Linked DNA regions of Oreochromis niloticus. The protein of the gene in region 3 interacts with the protein of the main gene of each other region in a pairwise test. Links are inferred from orthologs where the notes say so. Each region holds a gene or a part of one and is shown on either strand. Other genes may lie near its edges.

The links.
Region 1: the proteins of spdl1 (region 3) and dnaaf4 interact in binary tests that used the Homo sapiens proteins (3 or more experiments, as listed by UniProt). The two-hybrid records come from large-scale screens. The link is inferred for Oreochromis niloticus from reciprocal best matches to the Homo sapiens genes SPDL1 and DNAAF4.
Region 2: the proteins of spdl1 (region 3) and ca8 interact in binary tests that used the Homo sapiens proteins (3 or more experiments, as listed by UniProt). The two-hybrid records come from large-scale screens. The link is inferred for Oreochromis niloticus from reciprocal best matches to the Homo sapiens genes SPDL1 and CA8.

Annotation. Positions count from the first base shown.
Region 1 is NC_031972.2:38,648,929-38,660,080, forward strand, and holds the start of dnaaf4 (dynein axonemal assembly factor 4), read left to right. Parts: upstream 1-5,866; 5' UTR 5,867-6,989; exon of another isoform or gene 6,990-7,623; 5' UTR 7,624-7,693; intron 7,694-8,201; exon of another isoform or gene 8,202-8,315; intron 8,316-8,487; exon of another isoform or gene 8,488-8,617; 5' UTR 8,618-8,650; coding exon 8,651-8,773; intron 8,774-9,840; coding exon 9,841-9,988; intron 9,989-11,152.
Region 2 is NC_031982.2:2,297,386-2,307,926, reverse strand, and holds the start of ca8 (carbonic anhydrase-related protein), read right to left. Parts: upstream 5,287-10,541; 5' UTR 5,030-5,286; coding exon 4,957-5,029; intron 989-4,956; coding exon 797-988; intron 545-796; coding exon 420-544; intron 1-419. UniProt on the Homo sapiens protein: Does not have a carbonic anhydrase catalytic activity.
Region 3 is NC_031966.2:4,895,819-4,907,316, forward strand, and holds the start of spdl1 (protein Spindly), read left to right. Parts: upstream 1-6,727; 5' UTR 6,728-6,857; intron 6,858-7,296; exon of another isoform or gene 7,297-7,428; intron 7,429-7,984; coding exon 7,985-8,146; intron 8,147-8,310; coding exon 8,311-8,487; intron 8,488-9,130; coding exon 9,131-9,325; intron 9,326-9,638; coding exon 9,639-9,788; intron 9,789-11,498. Other genes in the region: trappc11 (trafficking protein particle complex subunit 11), read left to right, coding at 259-320, 522-654, 955-1,085, 1,436-1,561, 1,639-1,832, 1,926-2,074, 2,159-2,280, 2,394-2,513 and 7 more. UniProt on the Homo sapiens protein: Required for the localization of dynein and dynactin to the mitotic kintochore.

The DNA.
Region 1 (11,152 bases), on a different chromosome or scaffold from region 3:
CTTAACTTCACACCCGATCAGATTTGCACACTGTTAGACCTCTGCCTCACCACTACATATTTCAAATACAACGAAGGCTTCTACAGACAAAAACATGGCTGCGCCATGGGCTCCCCCGTGTCACCTATTGTAGCCAACCTTTACATGGAGGAAGTGGAAAGGAAGGCTCTTGGCTCTTTCAAAGGGAGAGTACCCAGCCACTGGTACAGATATGTAGACTACACCTGGGTCAAAATCAAAACACAAGAAGTGGAATCCTTCACTGCGCACATTAACGCCGTGGATAAAAACATCAAGTTCACCAGGGAAGACACAAAGGATAACTGTTTGCCTTTCCTGGACTGCGCTGTGCACATTGAAGAGAATGGCAACCTCAACATTGAAGTGTACCGGAAGCCCACACACACGGACCAGTACCTCCTCTTTGACTCCCATCACCCTCTGGAACACAAACTTGGAGTAATTAGGACCCTACACCACCGAGCAGAACATGTTCCCTCTAAGCCTGAAGGGAAAAAGAAGGAACACACACATGTAAAGGAAGCACTTAAAACATGTGGCTATCCTAACTGGGCGTTTATAAAGTCAGCAAAGATGCACAAAAAAGAAGATCAGACACCAGCGAGGGAGGATAAGAAAGACAGACGCAACAACATTGTCATCCCCTATGTAGCCGGTGTATCAGAGAAACTCAGGAGAGTTTTCTCCAAACACGACATGCCAGTGTACTTCAGACCCAGCAACACACTCAGACAGAAACTGGTACACCCGAAAGACAAAACTCCTGAACACAAACTGAACAATGTGGTGTATGCTGTACAGTGCAGCGAGGAATGCCCAGACCTCTACATCGGAGAGACCAAACAGCCACTTCACAAGCGCATGGCACAACATAGAAGAGCCACCTCCACAGGACAAGACTCAGCAGTCCATCTGCATCTTAAGGATAAAGGTCACTCTTTCGAGGATGCCAACATTCACATTTTGGACAGAGAGGACAGATGGTTTGAAAGAGGAGTGAAAGAAGCCACCTATGTCCACTGTGAGCAACCATCTTTGAACAGAGGCGGTGGTTTACGACACCAACTGTCTGCCATCTATAATCCAGTTTTGAGTTCCCTTCCCAGACGCCTTAACGCCCACTCACATTCTGGGCCATCTGACCTCAGGAAATCACATGGGGCCAGGTTTAACAATGAGCTCACCCGAAACCCTGGCTGATTGGGACCCACACCCGCTTTCACACCTTGGCTCATGTGATTAGGTAGAGGATCATCAGGGGGTCCTTTGTCCCCCTTTGGGGGGAAACTCCCACTGGGTTTAAATCTGTGACTCTCCACCATTTGACCCTTAGAACTGAAGAAGCTTCTCGGATGAGAGGTGAAACGTCTTCAAGCAACTTAAAAAAAGATCCAGACGCTTTTATTTCCAAGCTCCTTAGACTACGATGACCTGGATGACTGAGAACCTTCACAGACATTTTGTAGTGTTTCTTTTCAGTCACAAATAAAGACTCGTTTTCAGTTTGAAACATTCTCTCCTGCATCATTGTCTGCGCCTGAGTCCATCCCTCTCAATCTTCACTCTGTTTGCCTTGCAAACCGTGACAGTACGCTCCGACAATAACATGGACCCAGCAGACCACAGGCTGTACAAGCGGCAGGAGGCAGCCATCGCCCAGCTGGAGGAGGAGCTCTACTTGAGGCCGTGGTGCACTCCTGACTACGGGCCCACATTCTAAGGAACTCGGCTGGCTCTTGGCAGCCACCAGAGCGGTCCCTCAGGACTGCCGAAAGCCCCCACCAAGCTGTGGCCGCTTCAGGTGGGAATTCTGCTCATGCTCTAGCCTCGGTGTCGCCATTCTGCGTGCCGGAGGCTCAGCTGTTTACCCCGCTCGATTCCACTTCCCAGAGAAAGCAGCACTCAAGCCGTCGCATACATACTCCGCTGAGCAACTCCCGGTGGTGAGAGATTATGACTGTTTTTCACACTCTCCTCCTGAGTCCACAAACAATAGACTCAGCACAGATAGGTTTGGTGTTTCTCTACTGGATGATGATGTGGACTGGGAAAACCTTTTTGTTTTTGCTCCCTCTGAGCAGGGAAGGATCAAAGACCATTATCACCCTCCAAAAAAGTCAAAGTCAAAGACTGTTGGTTCGAGTTCTGTCCGGTCGGGTTTAGTCAATTTTGGTTCTGTCATTCCTGAGTTGAATAACTCTGAGACTGTGTCTCCAAAGATTGTTAAATCAGAGACTGTTCTTTTCAAAGAGTGTTAATCTTGGTGGTAAAAATGCAAAACCCACTTTGGATAAGTCTTTGTTTGCTGAGCCTTCTCCTTTGCCTCTCTGTGTTCCTGCTCCCAGGGGAGCTCAGGCCTGGCCTTTCCCTGCACCCATTTCAGTTCCTCAGGTGAGGGAGGCTGAGGTCCAGCTGGTTCACGGCCGCCCTCACCCTGGGAGCCAGGACAGGTAAAGGCAACCGCTGGGCAGCTGCTGTTCCCACCCGAGGAACGGGTGCAGGGACTCAGCCGGCCTGGGAGCCAGAGCAAGGACCAGCTGACCTCCGCCTCCCTCACCTGAGGAACTGAAACGGGTGCAGGGAAAGGCCGGGCCTGAGCTCCCCTGGGGGCAGGAACACAGAGAGGCAAAGGAGAAGCACCCTCCAGCACCCATACCTACTCCTCGGGTGGGAGTGGCTAGTGTCCGGTTCCTGTTTCTGCTGGAGGCTCAGGCGAGCCGGTCAGGCCCCTGTCCTCATGTCGTAGAGGCTCAGAAAGGTTAGTTTAGAAAGGTTAGTTTAACAACCATCACCACCATTACTACAACCATCATTACCGCATACACTACAGCCTTTGCTTCGAGTCCCTAGTTCTATCATTAACTCAGCTGTTAGCTCAGTCTCCTGTTTTGTTGACAGCTTAGTCTTCAGTTCAGTTGACAGCTCTGTTACCAGGTCAGGCATCTGTTCTGTTACCAGTTCACTCATTAGCTCTGTCGTCTGCTCAGCCATTAGATCACTCCTTTGCTCACCCACCTGTTCTGTTACCATGTTCATCAGCTGAGAGCTCTGAGCTCTCTCAGCCTCCCTCAGCTACTTCCCCTGGGAGTTCTGCCAGGCCATCTCAGTTTTCTGTCTTTGCTGAGAGCCCGTACAAGCCTTCCCAGCGGTCCACAGCAGCTTCCATTGAGAGCTCTGCCGGGTTGTCTCAGCCTCCTGTCTCCGATGAGAGCTTGTGCGAGCCATCTCTACAGTCTGCAGCAGCCTTCACCGAGGGCTCAGGCGAGCTCATCCTGCCCGCAAAGGACTATGCATTGCTGCAGCCTGAAAGGCAACCTGAGCTGGCTGTCTGTCTCACGCAGCTCCAGCTAGCTTCGCCTGAGCCAGGAGTTTCCGTACCTTCTGGTCCTGCATCTGTTCCAGCTAGAGGTTCAGAGGAGCCAGTCCAGCATCATGTCAAGTCAGCTGGGGGTTCAGGATAACTGTGCCAGCATCATGCCACGTTAGCTGGGGGTTCTGAAGAGCCTGGCCAGTATCATGCCACATCAGCTGGGTGTTCTGGAGAACCCGGCCAGCATCTCCTCGTGTCCACTGACGACTCTGTTGAGTTGAATTGGCTTAGGTCTTATCTGTCTGATAGAATTTTTAGTGGTAACTTTTTGGGGTAGGAGTCCTTTTCTGCTGCTCTTCAGTTTGGGGTCCCGCAGGGCTCAATTCTAGGGCGTCTGCGTTTTTCATTGTATTTACAGCCCTTGAGAACCATGCTTAGAAAGCATGGAATATCCTTCCACTGTTATGCCGACAACTGTCAGATTTATCTGCCTCTGAAGCAGAAAGATCTTTCTCTATTAAACCCCTACTGGCATGTCTAGAAGATATAGAATCATTTATGGCCCTAAACTTTTTTAATTGTAATTCAAGCAAAACAGAGGTGATCCTGTTTGGTCCTAGAAGACCTTATGGTTCTTCCTCTATTGATTCGGGACCCCTGGCAGAGTAATTACAACTTGTTGTTACTAACTTGGGTTCTAAAGTGGACAGTGATTTTATATTGAACACAAAAATTAGGGCTACTGTGAAGTCCACTTTTTATTCTTAATTAATTTCATTTCATTTAAGGTGCTTGACAAAGGTAAGACCTATTTTATCCGGGCTGCATTCTGAAACAGTAATCCATGCTTTTATTTCAAACGCTTAAACAGTTTTGACCCATCTTACCTCTCTGGGCTTCTTCATCCTTACTCAACCCCCAGGTTTCTCAGGTCAGGTGACAATCTGGTCTTGGTGCTACCCAGGTCCAAGAGGAAGCTCAGAGGGGACAGGACCTTCTCTATCGCTGATCCTAACCTCTGGAATAACCCGCCCCTGCACATTAGAGAGGCCCCTTCATTGTCCATTTTTAAAACACATCTTAAAACCAATTTTTATTCCTTGACACAGTTTGACCCTGATTTTACTGCTCTGATTTAATCTAATGTGCTGATTTTATTATTTTAATTTAATCAATTTTTTTTATTTAAGATTTTTTAAAAATTTTATTTAATGTATCGGGGGGGGGGGGGGGGGGGGGGGGGGGGGGGTTGTCATGTTAAGTGTACAGGACTTTGTTTTCAGCTGGTAGTTGTCTGAAAGTGCTATATAAATAAATTTTTTCCTTGCTTGCTAACAGGTAAACTCAAAAATCAGTTTTATTCCTTGTTATCTGTTGACCACCTATTCCTTACACAGACTTTCTGTCTGATTTTCAGACTATTTTTAATCTGATTCAGGGCTTTGCTCAGATAAAATATTTATTGTGTGAGATTTTAACATCCATGTAGATACTGAAAATGACAGCATTAACACTGCATTTTAAGCTATTATTATGGGAAGGCCTCTTCTTTCAAAATGTTTAAGAACCCACCCACAACTTCTCCTCCTTTAGTTACACTGCATTAGGTCTAGGGTGCTGGGTCCTTGCCATAATGTATATTCTTTTCCACTTACCTTGTTTTTCAATCACTGTGTGTTTATGCACAACTTTGCATTTAATTGTTAGTTATTATTCAGTTCTGGATCTCTTCCATAACAGTTATAGTTTTCTGTAAACATTATTAGACCGATAAAAGGCCCTTTCATATAAGCTAGGTGCTCCCAAGACCACCTTTTTACTGTCATACTTTTAGTTAACATATTTTGTTTTGCACTATGCATATTTTATGTCATTACGACATTTATTGTGGAGATTCTCATGTAGGAACTATTGTACTGCATGTTGGTTCCCCTGGTGCGTCTGAGTGAGATGCACACCCATGTTAAAGTATGAGCATGGCAAGCTTAATGGCAACCCCAAGTTTGTACAACTCACATTAAAGCAGAGGTGATAGTGATAGTTGAACTCGGACCTGCATGATTCCCGGCCCCCTGGTGGCAACATTGTGTCACTGCACCAAGGACCAGGCTGCTGCAAATATTAATCGACACACACGTTCACCAGTTGCTTCTTCATAAAGATGTCCGGAAGCCAGACATTAAAGTTGTGTTTGGAAAAGTGACACAAGGTGGGAGAAACAATAAGAAACTGTGTGAAGCCTGACAACAACAGCACCAAACGGTAGCAAGAAGGGTAATGGCCTGTATTTATATAGCGCTTTTATGGTCCCTAAGGACCCCAAAGCGCTTTACATATCCAGTCATTCACCCATTCACACACACATTCATACACTGGTGATGGCAAGCTACGTTGTAGCCACAGCCACCCTGGGGCGCACTGACAGAGGCGAGGCTGCCGGACACTGGCGCCACCGGGCCCTCTGACCACCACCAGTAGGCAACGGGTGAAGTGTCTTGCCCAAGGACACAACGACCAAGACTGTCCGAGCCGGGGCTCGAACCGGTAACCTTCCGATTACAAGGCGAACTCCCAACTCTTGAGCCACGATCGCCCGGGAATTAATGCAATCAAGTTCACAATTCATTTCTAAAGTCAAGTTAAAAGGAGGTTAAGGAGATTAAGAAATAAATGCATAACAATTCAAGAAAAACAAAAATGTCACAAACAAATGAAACAGAAATTGAAGTTTCCAGTGCAGAACAAGCTGCAGAAGCAGAGCAAGTGGATGAAACCTGTTTAGAGCAAAGAGTGGAAGTAGAGCTGCATAGAAGTGAAAGGCCTCACATGCTCAGAGAAAAGGGAAAAGAATTCCATAAAGAAAGGATACAATGGCTTCAACGCTGCTTTGACAGTATTTATGACAGATGCAAAGCATTAATCAAAGTTGCAAAAAATCTGTTTAAAAGGAGATCCACTTGACATTCTTGAAGGTCACATGAACATTGTACAAAGAGAAGTAGCCAAGCTTAATGATATTTATGATGAGTATAGAGCAATGGATGGACCACCTCATGATATGCATTCCAAGCTAGACAAATCCACCTCAGTGACTACAGTGATTTTACAAAACATCAAAGGTCACATTAAAGGAGAAAAGCAAGAGGAGATTGTATGGCCTGATCCTAGCTGTATATTTACATCCTCTTGCTCTGTTAGTGTCTCAGTTCATAGCCAGTTTAAAGCCAATAGAGTTATTTCTAATGGCTCCTCCACCAAAAGACAAGAAGCTGCAGTGGAGTATGAAGCCACAAAGGCTTTGCTTCAGATTAAGACTGAACAAGAGAAATACAGAGAAAAAGTACAATTGCGTGAAGAAGAAAAGAAACGCTTTACTGCAGAACAAGATGCTGCTGCAATGTCACAATGCCTCCTAGAGGAGAAGGAGGAAACTGAGGCATGTTAAAAGAGAAAAGAAGAAAGCAGCTGTGATAAAGCGACAACAAGAGGAAGGTGCTGCATTGAGAAAGTCATTTGAGGGCTTGAAAAGAGAAATTGAAAGATGGAAAATCTAAAAGGATTCAAGGCAGCAAAAGCAGAACTACAAGTTTACGAGGAAGACTACTTTTCAGTGAAGCAAGAAAGAGTCACTCCTGCAACCACCCCTGCAAACGTACAGGTAACAGAGTTCAACAATGCTACTAATCAACCCTCAGAACTAAAAAGAGAGGTAAACATCACTCATTGGAGCGCAGGTGAGCTTGTAAAGGTTTTGGCAGAAGCAATGTCAGCTAATAGACTACCTATTCCAGAGCCCTCTGTATTTAGTGGGCATTTACTTAAGTTTAAGCATTGAAAAGCATCTTTTCAGGCTCTAATATTGTGAAGGAACATTCCCACTGCAGAAAAGATATTTGTCTTACAGAAGTATGTTGGCAGCTGTGAAGCCTTAGATGGGTATTTTCTGATTGGCTCTGAAGATTCATATGAGGCAGCATGAACGTTATGAAGGGCCTTTTGTCAATAGCTAACGCCTTTAGGGACAATTTACACTCTTGGCCAAAGGTCACAGGAAAAGATGTATTGCAAGTATTGCATGTAATCCCATTATATCATATCAAACCATAAGACAAAGTGACTTTAACAAATCAAACACAAAACCTCAACCTAGTATCTGTAAGGTGCTCATTTCTGCCACTAAGCATGGGTCAGTTGACGAGGTATGTTATATATGTTATGTAGATAATTTTATGTCTCTATTTTACCCATTTTACTGTTGTGTTTTATGTTGTTAACTGTATGTTGTGTTTTAGTTCAATCAGTTTGTGATCAAGGTGATGCTGTAACAATATCATCCCCATTATCCTGATCACCAGTGACAAGGTAAGTGAAACCAGATAATATAATGATACCCTCGGTATGTTGAATTTGCTTTATAGCATACGGCACTAGTCTTTACTCCAGCCACCTTCATTTGCTGTTTGTTACTGCCCTAGTCAGCCTTCAGTGACTAACTTGAGCATTTAAGAATATCTTATTAGTTAACCTGGGGAAACTTTTGGGTTGCATTGGGTCATTATCCATTTGCACTGTCAAGCACCATCTGAATAGTTTTGTAGCATTTAGCTGAATCTGAGAAGACAGACAGGAGCTGATTAACAGTAATAACATTTGAAGTGAGTTATGAGAACCACTGAGCCAGGGTCTGGTAGCTTCTCCTCTTAGAAGGGAGATGTTAGAGTTAAGCTTCAGTGAAAAAAAACATTCCATTAAATTAACCTCAAAGATGAGGATGTTATGAAAGAGCATTAGGGCCCGTGGCAAACAAAAAGTGTGTGAGTCTTTTGTTTTGGGGTTTTGTGTTGTTGATGTTGTTTGTTTGTTTTTCCAGAATTCTAAGAAAAAAAGCTCCGTCTCCAATCCACTTGAAGATACAGAATTTTTTCTTCAGGATTCTGGAAATACAACAACAACAAACAAATGGAAATGATGCCCCCACTTTTTTGTCAGTACCCTTAATCCTCTTACGTAGGTTGTTGAGTGCACTTTGTGCCGAGAAAGTGAAAGGTTTTGATTTCTGCTTTGCGGATTTTTATAGAAGAATATATAAAAAATATTTAGTGCATTGTGGTTATGCATTACGAATTTCAGTTTAGGTTTTTCCGACAAACTCAAAGTCAGCATTTTGTTTATGGTTACCATAGTAACATGACGAGGTGCGACGGGAATTGACGTCGGATACGTTTATGAAACGAAATAGAGCGATTTTTTAATCAAAGCACAACCTTTTGGCTCTTCTAAAAACAGGCGAATCAAACATTGAGCTCAGCTGTACCAAAAATGCCTCTGGTCGTGATGGACTACGTCTGGACCCAGACGGAGACGACGCTTTACATTAATGTGCCTCTAAAAGGAACGAAAGCCGGGAAGGTAGACATTGTCTGTACGGACGATTACCTCAAGGTAAAGTTCTGAAAAAAGGAGTTTTGTATTTTTACTGTTTGTGTATCAAATACTATATCTATGCGACTTTACCATGAGCCTGGTCTCAGTAAGAGACTAAGCTGGACTGCATAGCATTTTTTTTCTGTGTCACACAGAATTGAGACATCGTGAAACGATGTCCCGCAGTTTGATCAAGTTTATGAGCAGCAGCCAACTCAGCTGCTGTATATATTTTCGAGCGCTTCTATCAATGCTTTTGTAGTCATCTACGTGAAAAGGAAAAGAAGGAAAAGAAATATATAAATATAAATTGCCCTGACCATATTAAGCTGTCTGCATGAGTTTTTCCCAAATGCATCATTAAAGCCCCCCTCCCAACCGGATATTTTTCTACCGTCCCCCTCTGTCTGCATAAAAGCAGAGTTGGAACACACTGTGGTACCATACCCTCGAGAAAAAGGCAATTAACAATGGAAGAAAGACAGACCATCATAACACTTAAAAATATAGGTCTTTCCTATAGAGAAATTGCAAAGAAAGTCAAAGTGTCAGTGATTACAGTTTCCTTCAGCATCAAAAGGCACTCAGAAACTGGGGCAAACTCTGATAGGAAGAGGTCTGGCAGACTCAAAGCCACAACCTAACCAGAGGACAAGTTTCTGAGAGTTAACAGCTTGTGTGATAGGCGGCTCACAGGACAACAGCTTCAAGCACAGCTTAATAGAAGTTGTAGTAAGCAAGTCTTAGTTTCAACTGAGAATAGAAGACTTCAAGCTGCAGGTTTGACAGGACGAGTTGCAGCAAGAAAAAGCCAGTGCTAAGACGTCAGAATAACTATATATATATATAAAAGAATTGTATATATATATATATATGTATATGTATATATATGTATATATATATATATATATATATATATGATTATTTTTATGTATATATATATATATATATATATATAAATTATATATGTACATCAAAATTCTATTCTAATTAATCGCTAAACAAGAACCAGAAGATGGTCTTACATTTCTCTTAACAACAATTCTTACAGTATAACATGTATTCATGTTTTTTCTTCTTCACAGGTGCATTTCCCCCCTTATCTGTTTGAAGCCTTCTTGTTTGAGCCTGTTGATGATGACAGAATCGCAGTAAGGGTTGCAAATGGATGTGCAGTCATCACTTTGCCAAAAAGGACCAACAAAGTGTGGGAGCATCTGATGATAAGTACAGGTAAAAGCTTCAACTTGTGGTCATTTCAATAAACAACAAGGCTCTGGTCTTCTGAACCCATGATAATGTGTCATTGAAAGAATGACTGACAGATAATACATTGTCTCTGACAGTTCAAAAAGAGACAGTGTAGGTCATGCAGCAGTCCTGAAATTTTTGATGTGGTAAGCTGGATGTTTTCCTGTGAACAGTGTCTCTTGAGGGCTTTTATCTAGCAATTACAAGCTTGTAAAATTATTTAAAATGGACTTGAAACACTTCCTGTATAAAGGCTAATTTACATCATGGAGCCCTGGTCTCATAAACTGACAAGGATACAAAAGTTACTGTGTAGCTGGATTTAAGACATAAGTGCTGAAAGTTAAAGTTATCAAAACATGTTTAGCGTGACATCATCAGATTCCCAATTGTGCCTCGATAAGAAACATAGTTATGTTTGTAGTGTGAGGCACATGTAGTAACCTGATAGGTTGTTAACTGTTTGAGTGTTCTTGGGATAGAGAGACTATTTTATTGCATAAAATAGCGCTGATCGCATCAGCTGATTGCGCCTCTCGGTACATCCAGCCATCCTGCTTTATAAAAACGAAAATTATGGCTAACAGGTGGATTTTCCTGTCTCAGTGCAACTAGTCCAACGAAGAAACACTTACTGCTTAAGAGACAAAGTGAAAGTGAACCTTATATTCTTGGTTTCTTAACATAAGCATTGTTGCAGCTGGGGGCAGTACAAAAGTGACCCCCTAAGGGAGATTTTATTTTCTCCCCTTGTCTTCCCTTGAGTTATTGGTTCTGTTAAAGTTAGCTAACATAAACTAATGTGAGTGTATTGACTGCAACCAACCAAGAAACCCGATGATGTCACGTTCTGTACTGGCACAAGATGGCAGTAAACATGTTTTAAGAACTTTTACTCTAAGCATGTATTTCTTAAATCTACTACACAGACAGTGTTAAATCTATATCAGTTTTTGAGAGTAGGGTGTAAATTAGCCTTTATATATCTGATATTGTTATCACTTGGTATAGCTACATCTATCATTACGCCCGTCTTTCTCTGCTTGTCCACCACCACTATGTCTGGTTGGTTAGCCATCACCAGTTTGTTCATCTGTTGTCTCATGAGACAACAAAGATCCATGAGTTGCGGCTTTCCTAGTGGCC
Region 2 (10,541 bases), on a different chromosome or scaffold from region 3:
AGTTTTGGGAAATGCAAAGTTGTTGTAGATGACAAGACCTAACTTGGAGTAAAAACTTGGAGTAAAAACCAAAGTAGAAACAGCTGACACAGTTGTAAACAAAAAAAAAAGAAAAGAAATGTATGTTTTTGGATGGGTAACGTAGTGGTACAATTTCTTGATGAACTGTCAGAGAACGGACCGTAAAGATTTTCCCAGACACACGGAGTCACAGAATGTTTGATTATGATTGTGGAACAATGCTATTCGGATATCAAAGCGGATACTTTTCAAAGAAAAAAAAGATTTTGTCTTCAAGGACTCATCAAACTACAGTGTTAGCTGAAGACAAAGAAGTCAAATCAGTGCATTTCTTTGGTGTTTCGGGTGTGCTTCATGGTTATGGCTTTGCTTTTTTCTCTGTTTTCTCCTTGGTTTACCTCCATAGGGAAAGCCTTGAAGTTGACCGTGTGCTCCGATCCTCTTTGGTTCTCTTTGCCCCAGTGGAATCGAACCTCGTGAAGCTCATACTCGTGATCGCTTGGCAGTGGACCTCCAGTAACCACTGTCACAGGAAACCAGGGGGATTATGATCAAGCACGTACAGGAAGTAGGCTAAATAGGTCAGAATAATAGTCGGTGTGAGAGAAAGGGGTCATTTGTGATGCGATGCAACTTTTTTGGTTTTCCCTTGTTAGAAAAATATACATTCATCACCTCCTACCAAACCTCGAAAACCATACATGCATCCTGTTTCAAAGCAGTTTAGTCAACAATTTGTGTTTGCTGACATGATGTCATGGCTGCTGGGAGTTACCTGACTTGGACTTAAGAATAATACGGACAGTGTGTCCATCATTGATGACCTCGCAGTCTCGACACACCACGTAGTTTGGTGACAATCCAACATCCAGGAGTGACGGGTCGTAGTGAGCCTCCCTGGAGTTTAGATTAATGGGAGACTGGTACTCGCCATTGGCTGCTGGGAAATGAAGTCCCCATTCTACACCTTTATGAACGAAAATAGGCATAAAAATGCACATGAAATAGAGCACACATTCATATTATTGTTGTAAAATATAGGCTTACTAAGAACATGACCATTAAAAATGGTTGCACAGTTTTAAGTGTCCTGCCAAGTCACACTTAAAAGTAAAGGGAACTGTTGCACCAGCTGTTTCAAAGTTCAAACTTTGACTAGCTGTAATATGCAGCTGTAATATGTGGTGCATATTTAAACAATATGCACCACATAAAACAGCTCTTATGAAGGGTTTGGTCATTGCTAAAAATGAAAGCAGCGTGGAAGCGGCTTAATCTGCATGCCATATGAAGGGTACCAGGTTGCAATAAGCCCTACAACAGACTGGCATCCAGGGTGTACCCTGCCTCTTAGATGGATGGATACGTGGATTGGATGGATATCTATGGTTACAAAAAGACTTCCGGTGAAGTCTAGAGGGAAAATCTCTGTAAAAAACTTCTGTAAAAACTCTGTAAAAGAATGAGTTTATGGAGTCAGTCATAAAAATAGTAACACTATTTTTCTTCTTCACTCAATTCTTCTTTCGCTCAAGGGCATCAGTTTCTAACTTTCTGCAGTTTTGCTTCTGGATTTTTGGTGAAAGTTTGCACAATCTGTGATCAGATGGTGACAGCAGCTAGCAATCCAATCGCAGTCAAAGGTTTCAAATGCCATTCTCAGTAAGTGCACAACTCAGGTTTTAATTGGTGAACATGCTATCAGTCTAAATTCATGTAGGAAACAAGTAAATATGTTGTGTACTTAATGTTGTGTGCCAGTAACACAAGTATCCGAATTAAGATACACCTTTAGAGATTTATTTTACCAACAGCTGGTGCAACCAAATCACTGACCCTGAAACTGAACAATCAATTCAGCTGTCATTCGCTTTGGTCTTTTTCCCATACCAGAAAAATCCCCTTCTTTTTGTTAGCCATGCTAACAAGGCTCCCTTGCATGGCTAGTGAGCAAGCACTAGCCATGCAAGTGAGCAAACATGTACTAGACCAGGGAATTGTATGTTTAGAGTACAGTTACCAGTTAAGATTTCAACAAGTCATCCAACTTGGCTGGTAGTTTGCTCTTCCTATTGGAAAAACGTGGGTGCTGTTTTATACAAGAGGGGAGTGTCTGAAATTCTTTTTGTCAGCAAGTCTACAAGCAGTAAAGTCATGACCTCTAATTATTATAATAAATATGGCAGTGGTAGCCTAGTAACAATGAAAGCCCATTTATGGTACCATAAGTGGCACTATTATTTTCTATTACAACACAGACAACTGTTTGATTAGTATTAGTTATTTATTAGAGTTTGTTGCTCTCTATATATGTATATATATACACACACATATATATATAGGTGGTGAGCACTGCTAAACTTTAAATTAAAGTTTGTATAAATAGTAGTTGTGGTTTAAATTGGGGTTTGGCGCCACAAAATCAAAGTCAAATAATATTCCCTGAAGTGATATAAACAGAGCTGGGTGTGTGCATGAGAGGAAAAGAGTGGTTTCAGAAGAACGTGTGGGGGACACGAGACTGGCTAAAACTGGTCTTCAGTCCCTCTTCCTCTTTGCCTTGTCCTCATTCTGATCCTGAGTTTCTTTCTGCTTCCTCTCAGTGTCTAGTAAACAGGATTTCTTGCAGTGAGTGTGACAATGAGATTACTGTTCATAAAAGCATAATTAAGCAGACTGCAGTTGTAAAAACAGGGCAAGTCTGCCCTAAATGAGACAGGTCACCTGTCAACAGCACAACACTGAAATATTTTGTAAGATAGTAATGCCTTTGTTTAATAGAGTGTGAAGAGCAAAAAGTGTAGAGAAAGTGATACCACTGAAAGACAGAATTTGCTTCACTTTCAGCTGACTGCAACAGTAAGAGATGTGTATAATGTGCACAACCTGCTGTGTTTTTAGAAAGAGGAAACACACACTGGCAGTATGGTGTTCATGGAAAGTCCAGTACACCCATCTGCCTCCAAGAAAAGGAGCTCAGGCCTCACAGTGTGCCTTTCTGTTGGGACTGCAGACAGACGGCCCTCACTGGCTGACTATTCACACCGTAGCAAAGAGGCAAGGGGGAGCAGTCACATTCTCGCTTTCCTCAGCAACTAAAGCCTTAACAACAGTTTACTAAAGGCAGTGAGAATTTCAGTGGCACTACTAGATTGCGGATTGTTGCTTTAATGACCTCAAATTAAGAACTTAGCTTTGTGAGTAATTGTGTTTTTTTATTTCAGTCACTGAAAAAATTTGGGGGTTGTAAGCTTATTTCTTCTCTTGTTAACTTTAGTGTTAGATGATATCATTCTTATGTGTAAGCTAATCAAGAAATGACTGTGCCTGATTGTTAGCCACAGAGGCATTAGAGACCTGTTGGTGGCCATCTGATAGTGCACCTTCAATGGCTGTTGGAGGTTCTGGCAGTCTCTGTGAAATCAACTGATCAACTCGCACAGAGACCTCAAAACCAGTCAGTCAGTGACCTTGTAATTCACTGGTTGCAGCAGAAAAATGTGCTTTCTTTACCTGGTTGTGGGTGGTTGCTGGAAGTCGCTGGCTGTTTTTATCAAGAAAGTGTTTGCAAGCAGATGTAAAGTGGTACACCAAAACCCTTCTTTGAGAAACCCCCTTTACTTTACTTGCTAGCAGGCTGCCACCTTTGCAGCAGTTTATATGGAAGATGCTGAAATTTCTGTAAACACTTGCAAATTACTCACCAACTGTTAGTGAAACTAAGAGTGACAAAAATGAGAAATTGAGAACATTTGCAGTCAGAGTAAAAGTTAGGGTTAGGGTTAGCCCTAACCCTAGCCCTAACCCAATTTATACTGCACTTGTTCCACATTTGACTAAAGCTTGTGGCATAAATGACAACTCTTTGTAGAAAAGTCTGTGTCTTCCATGCAAACTGCAGGTGACCAAAGCTATCACAAGCAGATTCTTGGTGTAGCTGATTTCACCTGGCAATAGCAGCAACGATTTGCGAGCAACATTTTTCCCTGGTGATCAGAGGTTGTCAGGGGGTCAACCAACCTCTAGGTCTATGTGACTGAGACCTTAGCTAAGTCCTAAGAAAGGAAACTTTTGCTTATTAGACAGCAGTAAGCACTGTCAGCTCATGGCAAGGAAGTTCTGTGCTTGTGCTTATAAATTAAGATGAGGAATTTCCTGTGGGAACCTCTCATCTCCTCTTAACCTAACCAGGTATTCGCATGTCAGATATTAGTGTCTTAGACATACATGGTATTCCATATAATTTAGTATACTTACAGTAAGAATTTCACAGTTCAGTGTGACAGTATATCCCTCGATGCTCAGTAAAAGCAGCATTACCAGAAAGACAAAGTGAACACATAACTACATGACATACTGAAAGTATGACAGTAATATTTGTAACCTATGTTCAAGTGCTTATGTGCTTTATTCAGTTTCTCTTTAGACAAAGATATATGAGTATATGAGTGATATATGAGTGACAGCTCTTAATGCCAAGCCATTTTTGAGTTTTATTGTATGATTTGTAGAGTCCAAGGTAATCTTTGCTCTGCTGAAACTCTCTGACCAACAACTGTCTGATGCAAGTCTCCTAGACCTTTAGCAGTGCAGTGATAAATAACTGGTTTGCTGGCAACTTTACTGAAGTGATATTGTTCTTGTGATATTTTTCTATATAACACTGACTGTAAATCATGCCGTTCGAGCAACCTACAACATAGGAGATGAGAGAGTAAAACCATTAGTGGTTTATTAAAAAAATAATGAAGCCGGTGTTCTGACAGATGTTGTACAGTGTATAACCCAAATCCAACTAAAGAATCAAATTGTATTTTTTTAAATGTTTTTAAAAAGTGTAAAGTTTTGGGTTGAGTCCCCCTTGAAACTCCTCCTGATCCTTAGCTTTTCACACATCTCCAGCATCCCTTCACATACTGAGAAATCCCAGCCTACCTTCCTCATAGCCCCAGTCCAGCTCATCTTTCCCTGGGGTATAATCCGACTCCTCATTCACGTTGTCAGCCATGGTGCTTTGCAGTCTACTCCCTGTGGCTAGAAACCAGTCTGTCCTCCCACTAGGCTCCCAGTCACTCTGAAGTCTGCTGGATGGATTCCCAGCTCAGCAACAACTCTGTCTTTTCTTTGATGCAGTTTCTCTTTTCTTCCTTTTTTCTGTCTGTCTCTTCTTATCCCCCTTTCTTACTCTCTCTTGCTCTCGTCCTCCTAAAGAGACAAGCTGATGATGTGTGCAGACTGTTCTGCCTCTCTGAGCAGCTCTTTACTCTGTGTTGCTCCGCCTCTTTTCTCTCGCTACTTTGCTCTACTGTTATCTCTCTCTCTTCCTCTCTCTTTCTCTCTCTCTCTCTCTCTCTTCCTTTCTGTCTCTGCAGGTGTGCTTGCTCACCCTGGCATAAAATGTCACAACAGTGTTTCTTTTTCATCTCCCTGCCCTGTATGCTCCCTCTGTTCAGAGGTGAAAATAAACTGTAAAGCATATCGGCTTTAATTATTTTTTCTTTCTTGATTTATTTGTTATGCTCTTTTAGCCTTTCTGCTGTTTTCAGAACCAAAGTGGTTGTGTGTATGTGTGTGTGCTGGAATGCTGGCAGGAAGGTCATGCTGGTGTTTCTGTTGGAGGCCACAGATCCACCCTTGGGTGAAGGAAACAGCAGTGGTTGAGAAAACATGCAAAAAGCAGCATGAGGGTGAAAGTGAAAGGCCAACTCTACTTCAGACTTGATGGCTTCAAGATGGACAAAGAAAGTGGCTCTCAAACACCCACAGAAGCCTTTGGCTACAACTTCATGGCCTATCACAAATGACTTTGAACACTGAACAGTGGTTTATATTTCACCCTGTTATACATTCTTTAATTACCAGTTGTTGTCATTTGTAAGTTAACTATATATTTTTCAATTTTACTGTATTTTTTGGGAGGTGGAGTCTCAAATGGGACAAATAATTCATAGTATTGACATTTTTTCCTTTGTTCATTCCCTCCTTTCCTAATCCATATCCTCCAGGCTGCTCTCATTAATTACCCTACATTCTTTATCAGGAAACTGTCCTTGGAAACTGTCCTCAGAGCAAGCTAAATGAAGAAGAGCTCCCTTGATGTGCAGGAGCATCAACATTTAAAGAACAGCCAACAGGAGTGTCTTCCCCATCTGAAATTCCCAAAGTTACCAAATCATGGGATTTGCTAGGTTTTCCAAGAGCCAAGAGGAAGTGCAGAAGTCTAATTTGCACTTAAATTGTTAAATTACACAACATATCCTTTTACTTAAGTAACAGAACAGGTTGTTACCCTCTGACTCCCAAAAAACCTTATAGGAGTTCCTGCTGAAATGACATATGAGCGTTCTTAAATTGTAATAGTATCACCCAGGAAGAGCAACTAAATCCCTGTTTGGAGACGGAACGTGTGGTGGTTGTGTAATCAAACACAAGACCTTAAGCTATGAGCTGAGGTTTTTTTTAGGTAGGAACACTGTTGCATACTACTTTGAGTTTTGTTTCCTTTACTTTTTATTAATAATTAAAGCAGTCAGTGGCTGCATGCCTTCCAGTGCCTTGTAAGTTGTAAGATGAAGAACTTGTCTGATATATTCTACTTCAGATGTAAAGAAATTAAGACAAACTGATCAAATGTAGAAATTTCATAGATTATTTGATTACTGAATTCACAGCCACTTTCTTGTGGTGATACTCAAATACAATGAATTTGCTGAGATATTACTCAAAACCAGCAGAATTTAGCCTCTAATTATTCTATTTAATACTGGTATTTCAATCAATCTGATGGACTTAGCTAGTGACACCTATTCACTTCTTTAGTGTATGTTCTTTACCAATGCAGATGTCTTCTCCTGTCCAGAGTGATTTCCTCCTGTTGCTTTCTGCCATCAAACACGTCACATTTAGTCAGATTACCTTGCTCTGTAAGAAACAATTAGTCACTACAGCTCAGCATGTCAATAATGAGTATTTAATTAGCTCTTTGGAAAATTCTTTTCATGCTTTGCATTTACCTGTTTGCTTGCTGCCATCAAGTGGTATTGTGTTATATTTACCCTCACAGTAAAGAAGATAGAGAGCCTTGGATCTTTTTTCTTTTTCTTTTCTCAATTTTGCGAGTGTCATCATAGCTGAATAAAAAAAAAAGCAAATCCTCTGACATATGACAATGTTTGTTTTGTTTTTTTATTAAAATAAGCTAGCATTAACACTTTGAGCCTAGCTAGTTAAAATTCAATATAGATTCAAAAAATTAAAAATGTATTTCTTGTTGTCAGTAGCAACTGATATCTGTGATTGTGCCAGAGCATATTTTGAATCACCATCATGGGCATTTCAGATTTCAACACAGGTGGTTGATTGTTACACTCTGGAAACTGAATGAAGGTGAGCATCATAACCCCATAAATCATAAAAAAAATCACTTCAAATTTTTGGTGAAAAACTTGGTCATGACAGTGCAGATTCCTGACATTTTGTAAGCATGTAACAGTTTGATTATTTCTAACACAAGAATGTGAAACTTAAATTAGAAAAATTGTATTTCCAACTGATCCACCTCATGTTGTGTAGTATTCTGGATTTTATACTTATTGAGCTACATGTTTATTTAATATATAGGCTACACAGTAGCCTATATATAAAATCAAAATGCACATTTTTTATGTAACGGAAATGTTTTATTATTTGGCCTAAAGCCAATAAGAAGGTTACTGACCATGTTTATAGGAAACAGGTGTATACTTACTGCATTTGGTGTATTTTAAGCATATATAATAAATATTACAGAATGTAACACCTGCACATTGATTTTGCCACCCCATGTGATTTCCCTGTCACCCTCACGCCATCCTAGGAATATTTCTCTAGATCCACCCCTGCATGTCAGGACTGATATTGCAAGCTTACTGGCTAGAACTGAAGGTAGGTCCTATGTCATTCCCTATTCTATGTTTCTTTTTGACTCTGACTGGGGGTATAATAATATCTGAAATCAGCACTGCGTTCTATTTAATAAAGCTTAACTTACAATCTTAAGTATAACTGAAGTTACAGATCAAAAAAACTGAAAGGCATTTTCCTTACACTTATCTACAATTAGAGGAGTCGCCCTCTGCTGGCCCTGTGCTAAAAAGAATCCAGGTTTAAGGCACTGCAAAGAGCCACTGCTCTTCTGTGCAGTGAATAATGGCCACAGAGTTTCCTTTCAGGTTTTTACATGGTTGAAAATTTGTTTTCTACAATACAATGATCCATTTAAAGTTCAAGGACTAGGTTACATCACTGCTTTTAAAATGTCCACCTGTAACCGGTTGGTTTAACTCTTGAATACATGCTGTAAACACAGCTGTCTGTTGAGCTTGGAACTTAGATGTGGGCTGGAATCAAAGGCAACATTGTTTTCATTGTGTGTCATTACTTTTTTGTTTAAGTCAAATTTATTTTCTGTGTCTCACTGTGACGACATACAAAATGTCATGAGGGCAAAAGTAACTCGGAACATAAATTGTTACATTTTGGGATTACAAGTAGATATAGACAGGTCTATCCAGAAAATGAATGTCCTAAAACATAACATCAGAATATCATCAGAATAGTGCGCAATTTTGAGAGTCTGCGATTGAAATAAGGCTGGGTCTATTTTGTGGAAAATTGTAGCTTTTTTAATTTATTGAAAGAATAGCTGCCTAAGATGATGCATTTTATTTTCCAGCTGTTCCTTTTAAAAATGTGAAAAAATCACATTTGAATTAAAAAGAGATAACACTTTATTTCAAGATAATGTTAAATCAGAAAAATCCCATTTAAATTGATGTTAAAGCGTTGTAAAACTACTCAAGGAGTAATGGAGAAGTGAATGGTTTTCTTACAAATGGATGTTTTGGGTTTGTTTGGGGTTTTTTTTTTAAACTTACTCACAGATGTCATATTATTTCCAGGCCTTTCGGGCTGGTTTTCTGAACTTGCTGATAATTCTGTCTGCCCAGATTTATGTTGTTTTGCTTTCTTTAGATTTATTTTTTTTATGGTCTAATATTTTGCACTGATTTACTGTAATAACCCCTCCATCCATCACCATGTTCCTAAGACCTGTGTTGTCGAGAGAAACTTTTTCTGGTGGGCCTCCCAAAGCAAAATGGTCTTCAGATTAAGTGTCATTCAAATGAGCACTGAGTGGCCGAGCCTTAGCCCACTGGGCCTGGACCCAGAACAAGACTCATGAGTCCACCCTCCTGTGGAGGCAGAGGGAGCTATAAGGGTCTGGTGCTTTGTAGATCAAGTAAGAGTCAGTGGCTTTGGCAGTCACATCCCCAGCTGCCCAAGTTGACTTCAGGGACATAGAGACAGGTGAGGAGCTTGTTCATCTAGGACGACTCAGAGAGAACACCTGATGAGGATGGATCCTGCATGTGTAACTGGGAGAGAACATGCTGGAGAGATGATGACTCTTACTTGCCTTGGGAAAGCATTGGTCAAAAACATTTCTGCTGGATAACCTAGAGGCTATAGCCAGGTAAGAAGTGGGTCTGAGCATCTTTTCTTAGTCTGCTGCCTCAATGACCCAAACCCAGATAAATGGCAAAAAAAAAAAAAATGGCCCTGGTCCTGAGCAAGATTATACGTGAAAGCCAGGTCAAAGAAATCTGACAGCAGTCTGGCTGGACTCGGCTAATTCCTCACAATCTTCTCAGAACAGCACTGAAGCACTATCACATCCCAGACCACATCAAGGTAATAATCAGCAGTTACCTGAGAGGGTTCAAGCACCGCTTCAAGGCCAAAGACTACCTACAGAAAGAGATCGTCACCATTCCTGTTTGCTATGAGCATTAACTTCATCGTGACGTCACTATCATTGGAGCAGTGGAAAACGTAAGACAACTGGCAATAAGGGGCTTCATACCTTACAGTCACGACATCTTCCAACATGCAGGCAAAATGGGTTCTAGGTTCTAGGTTAATATCGCTGACAAGTGCAATCTGAGAAAGTGGTATGACAATTCACCAAGCGACAGAAACAACGTCCACAACACAAGAAGCACCACAAGCAGAGGGACCGCTGAAGGACACGAATAAATCTGACTACTGGGGAGGCTTAAGGCATGACTGTACCAATATGGCCTGCTCCCCAGGTAGATGTGGCTCATCATAATATATGAAGTCCCACAGTGGACAGAGGAGAACTAAGAAACCCGGAGGAGGAACAGAGGACGTTAGAAGTGGTGGAGGTTGGATCCAGGCCGTGACTGCTGACCTGCCAGCAGGAGACTGTTAGAGCATCAAAACACAATCGTGGCCTCATAACATTTCAACCACTGTGGGCCCCAAAGTGGCTGTCCACATCTTATTGCCAAAAGTTGTCATCCCAAGTCAATGCTTGTGTGATGAATGGCTCCCAGGGGTCCAGGCCCAGGTTACCCTGTCCCTTCAGCTGACATGGACCTTGGGAAGTCTGTAAATTCATATATATGTCTTTTTGAAACAAAAAAAAAAGCTGATGAAGCATGGTCTCACTTGAA
Region 3 (11,498 bases):
AACATCAGGAACAGTTAAAGAACAAAAGATGCCAAATAAACCTTTAAAACATAATCATTTAATCTGTGGAGTAGTATTAAAAACTGCTGCTGACACTTTCTCTTCTTTTGTTTAACAGCTCAGAACAATCTTATTACTTGCATGTGGTAAATCTGAGAAAGTTGTTGCAACTGTCCCAGGATGTTTAAAATATTAAACATGACGTTTGAGTGGAAAACTGAATAATATCAGAAGACTCACGCTGATCTTGTCTTTTAGCTTCCACCTTAAAGGAGGAGCAAAAGTCAAGGATTGAGAAGAATCTCATCAAAGTCCTCACGGTGAGCTGAAGGATTCCACAAATCTAATCATCATGTTGTGGATTTCAAACATTAATATAACTGTAGTGTGTTTCATAGGAATTAAATGCTTAGAAGCTGCAGTTGTGCAGCAGCTGCTGTGTTGTAAAGCTCAGAGTAGCTAAGCAGAGGTCAAATCAAACGTGATGCATCCACATATTTTAATTGTCCTTTTGTTTCCAGAACGAGGTCCCAGATGCTGAGCCCGAGTGTGATCCGTCTTCTGTCAGTGCTGCCAGGTCTTTGTGGAATGACCGCATGGCTTTGGCTGGATCAAATGAACTAACTATAGAAGTGCAAGACTACATCCCATTCAGTTAGTAAACACATGATTCGCTCAAAAAGGGGTTTCAGTTCTCCTCTTTTAACGTGTACATGCCAAGAAGAAAAAGTGCATGCTGACTAATGATACTGGGTTTAGAAAGAGTTTAGTATAAAGTGAGCCTCTGGATGTATTCTTTTCCAGTTTTATTAAAAGTTGGATCATTAAAATGAGATCCTGCTAAAGTAATAAGTTAATGCAGCATTCAGTTTGGGATACATGCCCAGTAAAAATACAGTTTCTATATCTCGATATAAATGGGTTATAATAGCTGTCCTTTTTTTCTTACTCCAGTCCAGTGTAAAGCCAAATTCCAGTCTCCCAGTTTCCATGTGGACCAGCCTGTCCAACTGCAGGTCTTCCTCCGAGCTGACTGCCCTCATCCTGTGTCTTTCGGCAAGCTAGCTGTCAGCCTCAGTAACCAGGTACGTGCTACAAAAAAGGCTGTTTGTATCTCCACCTCCATGTATGATACCAGCTTGGAGCGCTTTGTCTGTACAAAGTCCCACAAAAGTCTTGTGTTTATTTCATGTATCTACTTGAGTCTGTAATTATCACCATCTTTGTTGGACAGCTAGTTAAAAACCTCTGCAGTAATACAACCCAGACTCGTTCATGTTCACCTCGTTTTAGTGCAAACAGCTGTGACTGAAAGTAACATTAACCTTCCTTTCACTGTTTTTCATGGTTATGCTGCAGTAGCTTAGCTGTCTATCACTCAGCCGTAAAACACCGATGGGGTATTGTATGTGACAAAGGTGTTTTTGTTTATTAGGAGTACAACCAGTGGTGTGTGGCAGAGTGGTCGGGCCAGGAGGCCATGAGTCTGTTACCAGGAAAAACCACATGCTACAATTTCAGCTTTGTGGCAAAAACTGAAGATGTTGGTAAGAAGATAGAGGTAAGGAGACTTTTTTGTTTGTGATTGTGAGACAGAGACAGGGATTGAAACGGTGATTAATACGTGTGTTATTATAGATGACGGGTATCGAGGTGATGTTGGGTGGCGACAGTGGCCGCTGTGTGTTTGTGAGCTGGAGAGGAGCAGGTGGAGACGCTGCGTCTGCACATGAAGCCTTGCAGGCCAGCAGGTGTTCACGGCGTTGGGGCCGTAACATCGAAGCGCGTCAGGAGCTGGACTGGGACAGCCTGACCATGCAGCACAGCACCATGTGAGTCAGAAAAAGTCATTACCAGCCCGTCAGTTTGAACAGTGTCAGTTTACACGCTGGGATCAAATCAGCAGAAATGGTTCTTGTGTTTAGGATCATCTCCAGAGTCCCAAAGATCTCTGTTCAGCTGAGCCACCAGCCTCCTGCACTCACCAATGAAATGTACTGCATCAAGCTCACTGTCCAATCACAGGAGGAGGCCATGGCTAAAGATGTTAAATTAACTGCTGGCCTCAAACCAGGTACATCAGTACTCTAATCATTTTCAATAACATACAGCAGCAAACAAATGCTAATTTAGCATTTATCTTGGTTTGCATGTTCAGGTCAGGATGCCAATCTAGGCCAAACCACTCACGTGACACTCGACGGGTCAAAGGTTTGTGATGACAGCGCACCTTCCTTGCTCCCCGATGTGCCTCTCGGAGAGCTGAAACCGGGCGAAAAGGTGACTCTCACAAAGAAATGTCAATTCAGCATATCGCGCAAAACAGCAGCATTGTCAGGTTCTTCACAGCAAAAGAAGAAATTTGAGTTTGTGAGCTGTGTGTTTGCCTCTAGTTGGAGAAATGCGTGTATGTCAAGTGTGTATCAACCGGACCCAGGGTCTTCTTGTTCCACGTGGCCTACAGCATCGACACCACAGTAGAAGGACGACAGATTATGTGCAAGTGTCATAAGGTAGAAAGCTTGTCTGACCTGCACAGTACAGCTAACAGTCGGCTCAGTGATAAACAGATGTCAACGTTTGTTTTACTTTTCTGGTTTACACCTCTTTTTTTCTCCTCTTCTCCAGGATGAGACGGTAACCATAGAGACACTTGTTCCATTTGAGGTTTCGGTCAAGTTTGTCTCCACCAAGGTGTGTAGTTAGGTTTACCCGCTTTCATTTTAGCTTGGATTTTACTAATAGTCAGGGAGGTGTGAAGGGATCTTAATAAGCTTAATATCATAAAATACAAAAGCAGGAAATGAGAAACATCCTGATTTATCTGATTACATTTACATTAGAGTAAGCTACCATACACCTACCTAAACAACCTGTTTGTTGACAGCTTCTTCTAGAATTAGAATCAAGTTATGTAGAGAAAAAATCTACTGAAACAGACGAACACTCCAAGTACAAAGTAAAGGACAAAAGAAATAAGTAAGAAAAAGGTTAAAGTAAAGAGAAAAGCAGGAGCTTTGGTATGTTGCATTCAATTAAATAAATTTCATTCCATTAAAGTAAGATAATGAGTCTTTTTTTATAGTAAGTCTAATAGAAATGATTATTATCGTCTCTGCTTCTGTGTGCTGCTGCAGTTTGAGCCATTGGACCGGGTATCAGTGGACATTCCCTTTCTCCTAATGACTGACATCCTGTCGTCATCTCCGTGGCCTCTTCTGCTGACTTCCTCTTCTCTGCAGCTTCTTACTGTGACCAGCAACACACCACAGCTTCAGTCGCAGTTACAGGAAGGTATCCGAGTACTTAACATAGTTACCTAAAATTTCCTGTTTAGATTTATTGCTGAAAAGTAAAAAGTGTATGTTTATGTTCAGTGGTTCTACAAACAGGGGAGTGTGCCAGTGAGTGTTTCTGTCTCCGATGTCCGCCACAGACCAACATCAATAACACGGTGGCTACAGGACAGTACCTGCTATCGTGGAGGAGGTACGTACACGTTAATGGAGGCTTTGACATGCTGCTGCTGGGTTTTCAGAGGGCTTGAACAGACTTCTAAAACTGTTTTACAGAAACTCCTCCAGTCCAGACAGTCCTCTCATCCAGACTATAGTCAGTCTGCCTCATGTGGTCCTGGAGATGGTGCCTCTGTACATCCACGCTGGTCAGTACGCAAGCATCGCATGCACACAGTGTTCCTGATTTTACAGATAATATTCCAATACACTAAGTAGAATTCAAAAAATGTTCTCATTATTTGCATTTGCAGTTGTGAAAGATGTTAACCTCTGGCTGTTGGTGGTGTTACATTGTTGTGTTTTGATGTTTTTCAGATTTGCCGTCATTCGGGCGAGTCAGGGAGTCTCTTCCTGTGCGTTACCACATAGAAAACAGAACGGCTCTGGTGCAGGAGGTGGAGATGGCCGTGGAACCGTCCGATGCCTTCATGTTTTCTGGTCTCAAACAGGTACAGCTGCGCCACCTGTAGGAATGGTGTTATAAGGGCTGATGGGTCATATTGATTGGACAGTTTTGGTGATGTCATCGTGCTTCATCAATACATTGAAAATCTGAGCAGCAGCACTGAAACTTGCATGTGTGTGTGTTCTATCTATCTGTAAATATAAAACTACATTTATTTTAGCTTTACAAAGAGTCACTGTGTGGCCTCTGGCTTGATTGTACCAGACGGTCCAGAGTCACTTTCACTTCAAACATTACCTCATTCAAGGTTCATCTTGACTGCCTTGACCTAGCCTTGATTTTTGGCTGCACATGTATCCAAATGACAAATCCATTTGTGTGTGTGTGTAGGTGCGTCTCCGTATCCTCCCCAGTTCAGAGCAGGAGATGCTCTATAACTACTATCCACTGATGGCTGGTTACCAAACACTACCACAGCTCAACATCAGTCTGCCACGTTGCCCCACCTTCAGCACTCAAGCTCTGAAACGCTTCCTCCCCCAGCGTATCTTCGTCAAGGTAACACACATAGAAACCCATAAACACTAAGGTCAAAGTGGAGATGTTTTCCTTGTTGGGCTAAAGCATCGTTTCTGTCTTTCTCCACAGCCTCAGGGTCGACAGTTGGATGACGCCTCCATTGCTGCAGCTTGAGGAGAAAATGAAAGTGTTTCTTGTAAATAAAAAGAAAAAGCAGCATTGTGTACTGCAGGTAGTTCTAGATGTATGATACCACAGAGATTACACAGAGATTGACATTATTGACACTATTTGCTTAGATCACCTGTTGACCAAACACCAGCAAGCATCGAGCACCGATGATCATTTAACAGCTAAGATCATGTGTGAGTCTGATGTGAGCTTCATGGACATTTGAGGAAAGTTTAATATATGAATAGGATGTGATGATGATTTGATTAAACTGAAGTGGTCTAAACCTGCTGTGTCTACAACCCTGAAAGTGTGAGACAATTGTGCATACTTTAAAATGGCTACATTATATCGATAAAGTTGAGGGTCATCATTATGTTCAGAAGTGGGAAAAGGGTTAGTTGGTACTGAAAGACAATATAGGAAAGATAGACATCTGTCGCTACTGCCCATTTTCTTTTGGTTCATGCATTTTAAGCAATAGTAAAGTGATCAGGTAATGCTAACAATATGACCCGAGTCTGAGACGCACACATACCACCTAATTTTTGCTTCTTAGTTCTTAGACAGACTGTAATTTAGAACATATTTATAATTCAATTAAAATGTTTTAAATACTTTTAATTGGCCAATAAAGGAAATCAGTTTTTTCCACATTATCAAACAAGTTTATTAATTCACTGAAGCTTGTTGGCTGGTTCAAAAATGGCAGGTTGTTAACTCAGCAAAGATGAGTTGTACTGTCAGCACTCAGATTATAACCACACCAAAGTAAAGTGACTCCATACTGTAGTGGTTTACACATTTGCATCATCTGAGGTCTGTACTACAAAGCAGGTTTACTCTGGGGCTAACCCTGCGCTGCAAAGCTAGTTTACTGCGTACTGCTGTACATCGCCATGGTAACTTGTGATGGGAACATAACGTGCTTTGGAGCACGTTATGTTCCACATTAAATGTCAACAGGTATAAAATCACCATCTGCTGATAAACCAAGTTTCCAGAAAATATCCGTACGATTCTTTGAAGATCTCTGTGTGCGAATAGTAGCAGGAGCTCAAGTATATTAAGTGTCTGAAGCCTTTGTGTTTCCCAAATGAGCATCAGTAATAAATACAGATTCTTAGATGCAATTTTATTCCTTGCTTTTTATTCGTTTTAATTATTTTTTTTACCTTTTGGCACAAAATTTTGCATCATCAGCGTGATTTTTTTTTTTTTTTTTTAACCTTAAAAAGTGATATAAATTGCATGACACATTTTTAATGACTACATTGCAAAATATGGCTTATGTAGCAAACGTAATACAAATTAAAACTCGTATATGCAGATTAAAATTTGATGTATTTATATATTGTCTAAAGGTTCAGCAAACACTCCATTATCAAAAAAGATAAAGGTTTCTGGCAGTTATTTCATGGTTCAGGTTTTAAAGGTTTAAGAACAATTAAGTATTATAAGAATTAATATATAAATTGGATCAAGCGCAGGTAGACTCGGCCCATATTTGATTTGTTTTTGTTTTGCTTCTTTAGCTGATCTCAGACCAGTACACACTCAGGGCTGCGGCCAAAAAACAAAACAAAACAAAACAAAAAACTAAAGCTGTCTTATGCAAATTTGGATATTATTTAATGGAACAACAGATTATAATCAGACTCTCCTATGTTTTAACAATAAAGTTCTGATCATGATAAGTCTGTTAACATTCCCAACCGGCATTTCTGTCGGCTTTTCTTTTAAGTCCTCCCTGAATTCTGAACAACAGTTTTCTGTCTTCAATTACCATATCAGGCTTCAATCACTTCTTCTTCTTGATTTCCAAAGCCATCCCACAGACTACCATCTGATGCTGCCTAGGTACATTCACCCCCCACACCACTTTACAATCTCATTCTCAGTCTAAAAAAAATTGAATTTATCAATGGATTAATACATTTAGAAATATTTATTTATAACTACTGTTTTTACTGTCGAATAATTTATCACAACATTAATTCCTTTAATAATAAAAAATCATGAGCAAATGTATGTACTAATGAATATTTAATTGCACAATTAATTATTTATCAATGAAATTGTTTATTTCGATGTGCGCGACTCTCTCGGTCCTCCACACCTAGAGGGCGATATCTCAACAACGCCAGACTGACGAATCTCCAAAGTCTCGCAGAGCCAAGTTGTCGCGATAGCTGGTTGGAGTCGGATTCAAATTGTGGCGCTTTGGCTGGTCGTTAAGAAAGGTATATTTAATGCTTGTTTTTGTTATTGTCAGTTTATCTATTTTATAGGCACTTCGTCAGTAGAAGAACTGCTCACAGTAGAGTTGTTGTTGCTAAATAAAGAAAATATCGTTAGTTCGGGTTTGTCATATTGAAATCTTAAGCCTCCCCAGCCTTAGATTGTGTGGACAAGCAGGAGCTAGCTGTCTTTACGTGACTTGTTGACATATTTTGGCCGATACTGTATGCGTTTACTATCTGCTGTAGCTGTTGCGTATTGTCCTCCTGGACATTTACTGTCACTATTAAACTTATTAACGGCGGGACGTTAGCTTCTGATTAATTGGAAAGAAGGAAATTAAGGCTGTATAGCACTGTCTTACATAATAAACGAGAACACGGTATAGACCTTAGCATAAACGGTTGCATTTATGTATGCCTTTCTTGATTACTTTTGTGTGTCACTTTTTAATACATGCAGTGTTTCTGAGTTGGACAGTGGAGTATTAAAAAAAAACAAAACTATATTATACTGAAAATAAAGCAGGATCCCAGCTTAACAGCAACAAACCTGTGTTACACTGACAAACAGGTTAGTAACTTGTGTGACTTCCAGTTAGTCCCACTGATCTGTGAGCTCTCAGATTTCAAAAGCTGCACCTGTCTACATGTGTTCATCAGACTCCAAGTGACAGAGAAAATGAAAACGATAGATAAAATAAAAGTCACATGGTGATAGCAAATAATTCAGGAACTGGATATTGAATTGTTAAGACTGACACCAATATTTGTTCATTCAAAAAGCTGATACATCAAATTATATATATTTTTTTTTTAGCTTTCAGACACATTGTAAGTACTTACTAAGATATTAATGACAATGCAGGTTAATGTTGTTGAATCTTGTTTAATGATCACAAGACATTGGTTACTGCTGGACTAGATCAGCTAGTTGTTGTGTTTGTGGCATTTTTTAATATTTGTTGTCAACATGGCAGTTGCAGAGTGCCCGTGGACACTTGTTATTAAGACAATATAAGAACAGTGACACTGAGCAGCTCCAGTCTCTGTTGAGCTCCTGGGCTTTTTCAGTAATGACTGAAGCACACAGCAGATTTTAACACACATTTCTGTCCTTCCCTTTCCAGATGGCAGCAGAAGAGGAGATCAAGGTACTGAGGATCCAGCTCAGAGAGAAGGAGGAGCAGGTTCATCAGGCTGCTCAAGCTGGCCTGGATCTCCTCAACCAGCAGGTGGAGCTGCAGAACCGACTGGATGAACAAAGAGTAGAGATGACCAACGCCCTTGAGGTCCGCTCTTACACAAATAAAGAGAAAGAGCTCCAGTAAACTGTGCCATGAACCCAATACAAATGTCATTGTTTTCCTAATTTTTCCTCCTGTTGGTTATCCAAACTAACTTTATCATTGTTTCAAACTTCTCCACCTGTCTTTGTATGATGTGTGTGCCACAGGCTCTCGAGCAAGACAAGTACTCGTTGCAGAAGGAAGTGGAGCTGAAAACTCGGATGCTGGAATCACTGCAGTCGGACTTTGACTGTGTGAAGAATCAGCAAAAACGGTACCTTCAAGAACAACAAGAACATCTGGAGAGGGCTCATAGCATGGCACTCAGTGAGCTTCACAACAAGGTACAACAGCATGTGGTCTGAGGTCTGTACTAGCGATAGGCAGCTATGCTGAGTATACAGAGTTATCAGAGTTCCTTTACCAGGTTAAATGCACTATGGTAGCTTACACTCACCAGTAAAAGCCCCAATTCTTGAGTGGCTGTTAGAGCAGTAAAGTAAGATACTTGTTGAGGTATAGCACGCTGTTACTGCCTCCAGAACTGCCTTAATTCTTTGTGGGGCTGGAAACATGATTCAGAGAATCTGGTCCATATTGAAATGATGGAGTTGCACAGTTGCTGCAGATTTGTTGGCTGCACATACATGATGCAAATTTCCCATTCCACCACATCTCCAAGGTGCTCTGAGTATGAGTACAGTGATTGTCCTGTTGTAGAAACCAGTTTGATATGATTTGAGCTTTGCATTATGCTGTGCATTACACTGCTGGAAGCAGCCATAGAGACACTGTGGTCATAAAGAGATAAACATGTTCAGCAACAATACTCAGACATGCTGCAGGATTCAAACAATGCTCAGGTAGTGCTAATGGGCTCAGAGTGTGCCAAGAAAATATCCCTCACAGCCTGACTGGTACACGGCAGGATGGATCCACGCTGTCATGTTGTTTTCCAACCTGTGATTGTAGTTTTTGCTCTCTCAGATCCTGAGGTTGCAGTCTTCTCTAGAGGAGTCCCAGCTGAATGAAAAACAGCTCAAACACAAACTGGAAATGCAGACGGAGACGCTGAATAACAAGATGGAGGAGCTCAGAGCTCTAAACGAACACACGCAGAGTTCCATGACGTCGGAGATGATGGAGGTGCAGATGAAGATCACAGAGCTGGAGAACGTTAAAGTGAGTGACTTACAAAGGAAAGTTCTACAGACAGCTCATTCTCACAGTGACAGTGTGATAATAGAGACCATCCAGAGCTGAGCTGCTCTGTTAAGCTGTTCACATAAAGGCTTGTGGATTTGACAAGCTGCTTAGTTTTTCCAGATGTTTTTGGTCCTTTGAGCACCACAAAGCATGTACCATCCATGTCCAACCAGGTCAACTAACACGAGAAGTATCTAGATGAATAAAGATGATTAATGGCATGAGAAGAAGGGGTGTTCTCAAGTGGTTGTTGAATCAGCAAGTGATGTAATCTGTTTTGGTCCGCCAGGTGGAGCTGGAGCAGGAGCTGCAGGAATCGCAGTACAAGGAGCAGCAGCTGGAACTGAGCAACAGCAGCCTGCAGCGGCAGCTGGAGCGAATCACAGAAGAGAAGGAGGAAAGGGAGAAAGAAGCGGTGTCCTGGTTCAATGCATTAGAGGTAAACATGTTACAGTCTTTGTGGATTTAAAGTGAAAGCAATAAAACACTCATTCCCTCATCTGCTCTTCTCTGTGTTGTGCAGTCACACCAGGCTGGACCTGGAAATGCCTGGAAAAGTCTTGAATAAGCACTTTCACTAATCTCAAAATAGATTATTATATTTTCAATCTAAAAATCTTAATTAAAAGATTGAAATTAGGAAAGTAGGAGCTGATATTGTGCATTTAAAAAATAAATATTAAAAAAATAAAATAATCATTATTCGAGTAAGTAGAATTGGAACGATGACCAGAACGTTGGCTCACGTTCTGGTCATCAGCCTGGTCTCTGGAGCACTCTGATGAAGCTCGTACTTGCTGCTGGGTTGGTTGTCCCTGACTCTGCTGCAGTCATGTCCTGTGATAGTCTAATCAGGGCAAAGCCAATCATATGGCGCAGCCAAGTTTGAATTCTTAGAGAAGCGTGTTTAGTTCCATACAATAAGATATCCATTAACCACATCAGTAAGCATTTCCTGCGTACACTTAGTTACATTTTAAGGTGCATTTCCACAACAAAAGAGTGGTCGCTTCAGTCTTTTCTTCTTTGGCTCTCGGAGGAGGCGGACACACTTTTTCTCCTCTCCCTTAGCTTCCCTGCTTATGTCCTTGTCTAGTCTCGTGTTTTTCTTTGTATTTTCCCTGGAACACTCTCTCACAGTCTGTTCTCTAAAACCTAAAAGAGGAATTATGGATTTGATCAACTGGTCCCTGAATGCAATTGACACCCTTTTCTCAACGAGAAGTCTGGGCTTGGGTGAGCCTGAGTGGTGAAGATATCTACCTATTCGGAACCATGGTAACAGGGTTCTTGCTGATCGGAGCTGGCTTGGCCCTGACTTATCGAAGAATTAAGAAAGTGGAACCGGCTGTTCAAACCCCCACAAGGCTGCCCGCTGGGATTGGAACGATGGGAAGAGGCGTGAGTTTCTCAAAATGGGCTCATTGAGTCAGCACGGATAAGATCTTGGAGAGGCTACGGCTGCTGTGAACACTCAGAATAAGACCTCTGACTGCAGACTGGATACATCTTGGAAGCGCTAGCCCGGAATAACATCTCTGGGCGCAAAATTGGATGACATCTCGGGGAGGCACACTGCCGTGAGTTCTCAGACATTGGCTCCTTGAGCACAAGAAGTGACAACATCACAGAGCGCAAGTATGGCGAAGCTCGCGGCTCTCCAACGGGAGATTGAGAGACCAGTGTTGGACTGTAGAACTGCTTTGAAATTCATATGAGCTGTTCGCACTAAAGTAAAAAAATAACATCACTTATGCGGATACCCCTTTGGCCAAAACTCCCTGATAACGACTGTGTTGAGTCTGTTCCTTCCCATCCCATGCAAGGCCACCTGGGTTGGCTGGAAGACTGTTTACTTAGCCTGGCAGGGCGAAGGACACTGTCTCAGCTGAACTCTGGACACGCACACACATACATATACTGATACTGATAAGCACTCACCAACGCATCACCCTCCCTACCCCGGATCCAACGCCACCTCCAACGCTTACCTCCCCTCTGATGTGGACATCGGGTCAGTTGGAGGCGCAGTCGAAAGATTGCAGCGGTCCCAGATTAGATGCACACACTGGAACTCTTTCCCATGTTGCTTGTCTGTGTTTATTGTGCTATGGTGTGTTGATATCTGTGCATTCCTGTATTATCCTTT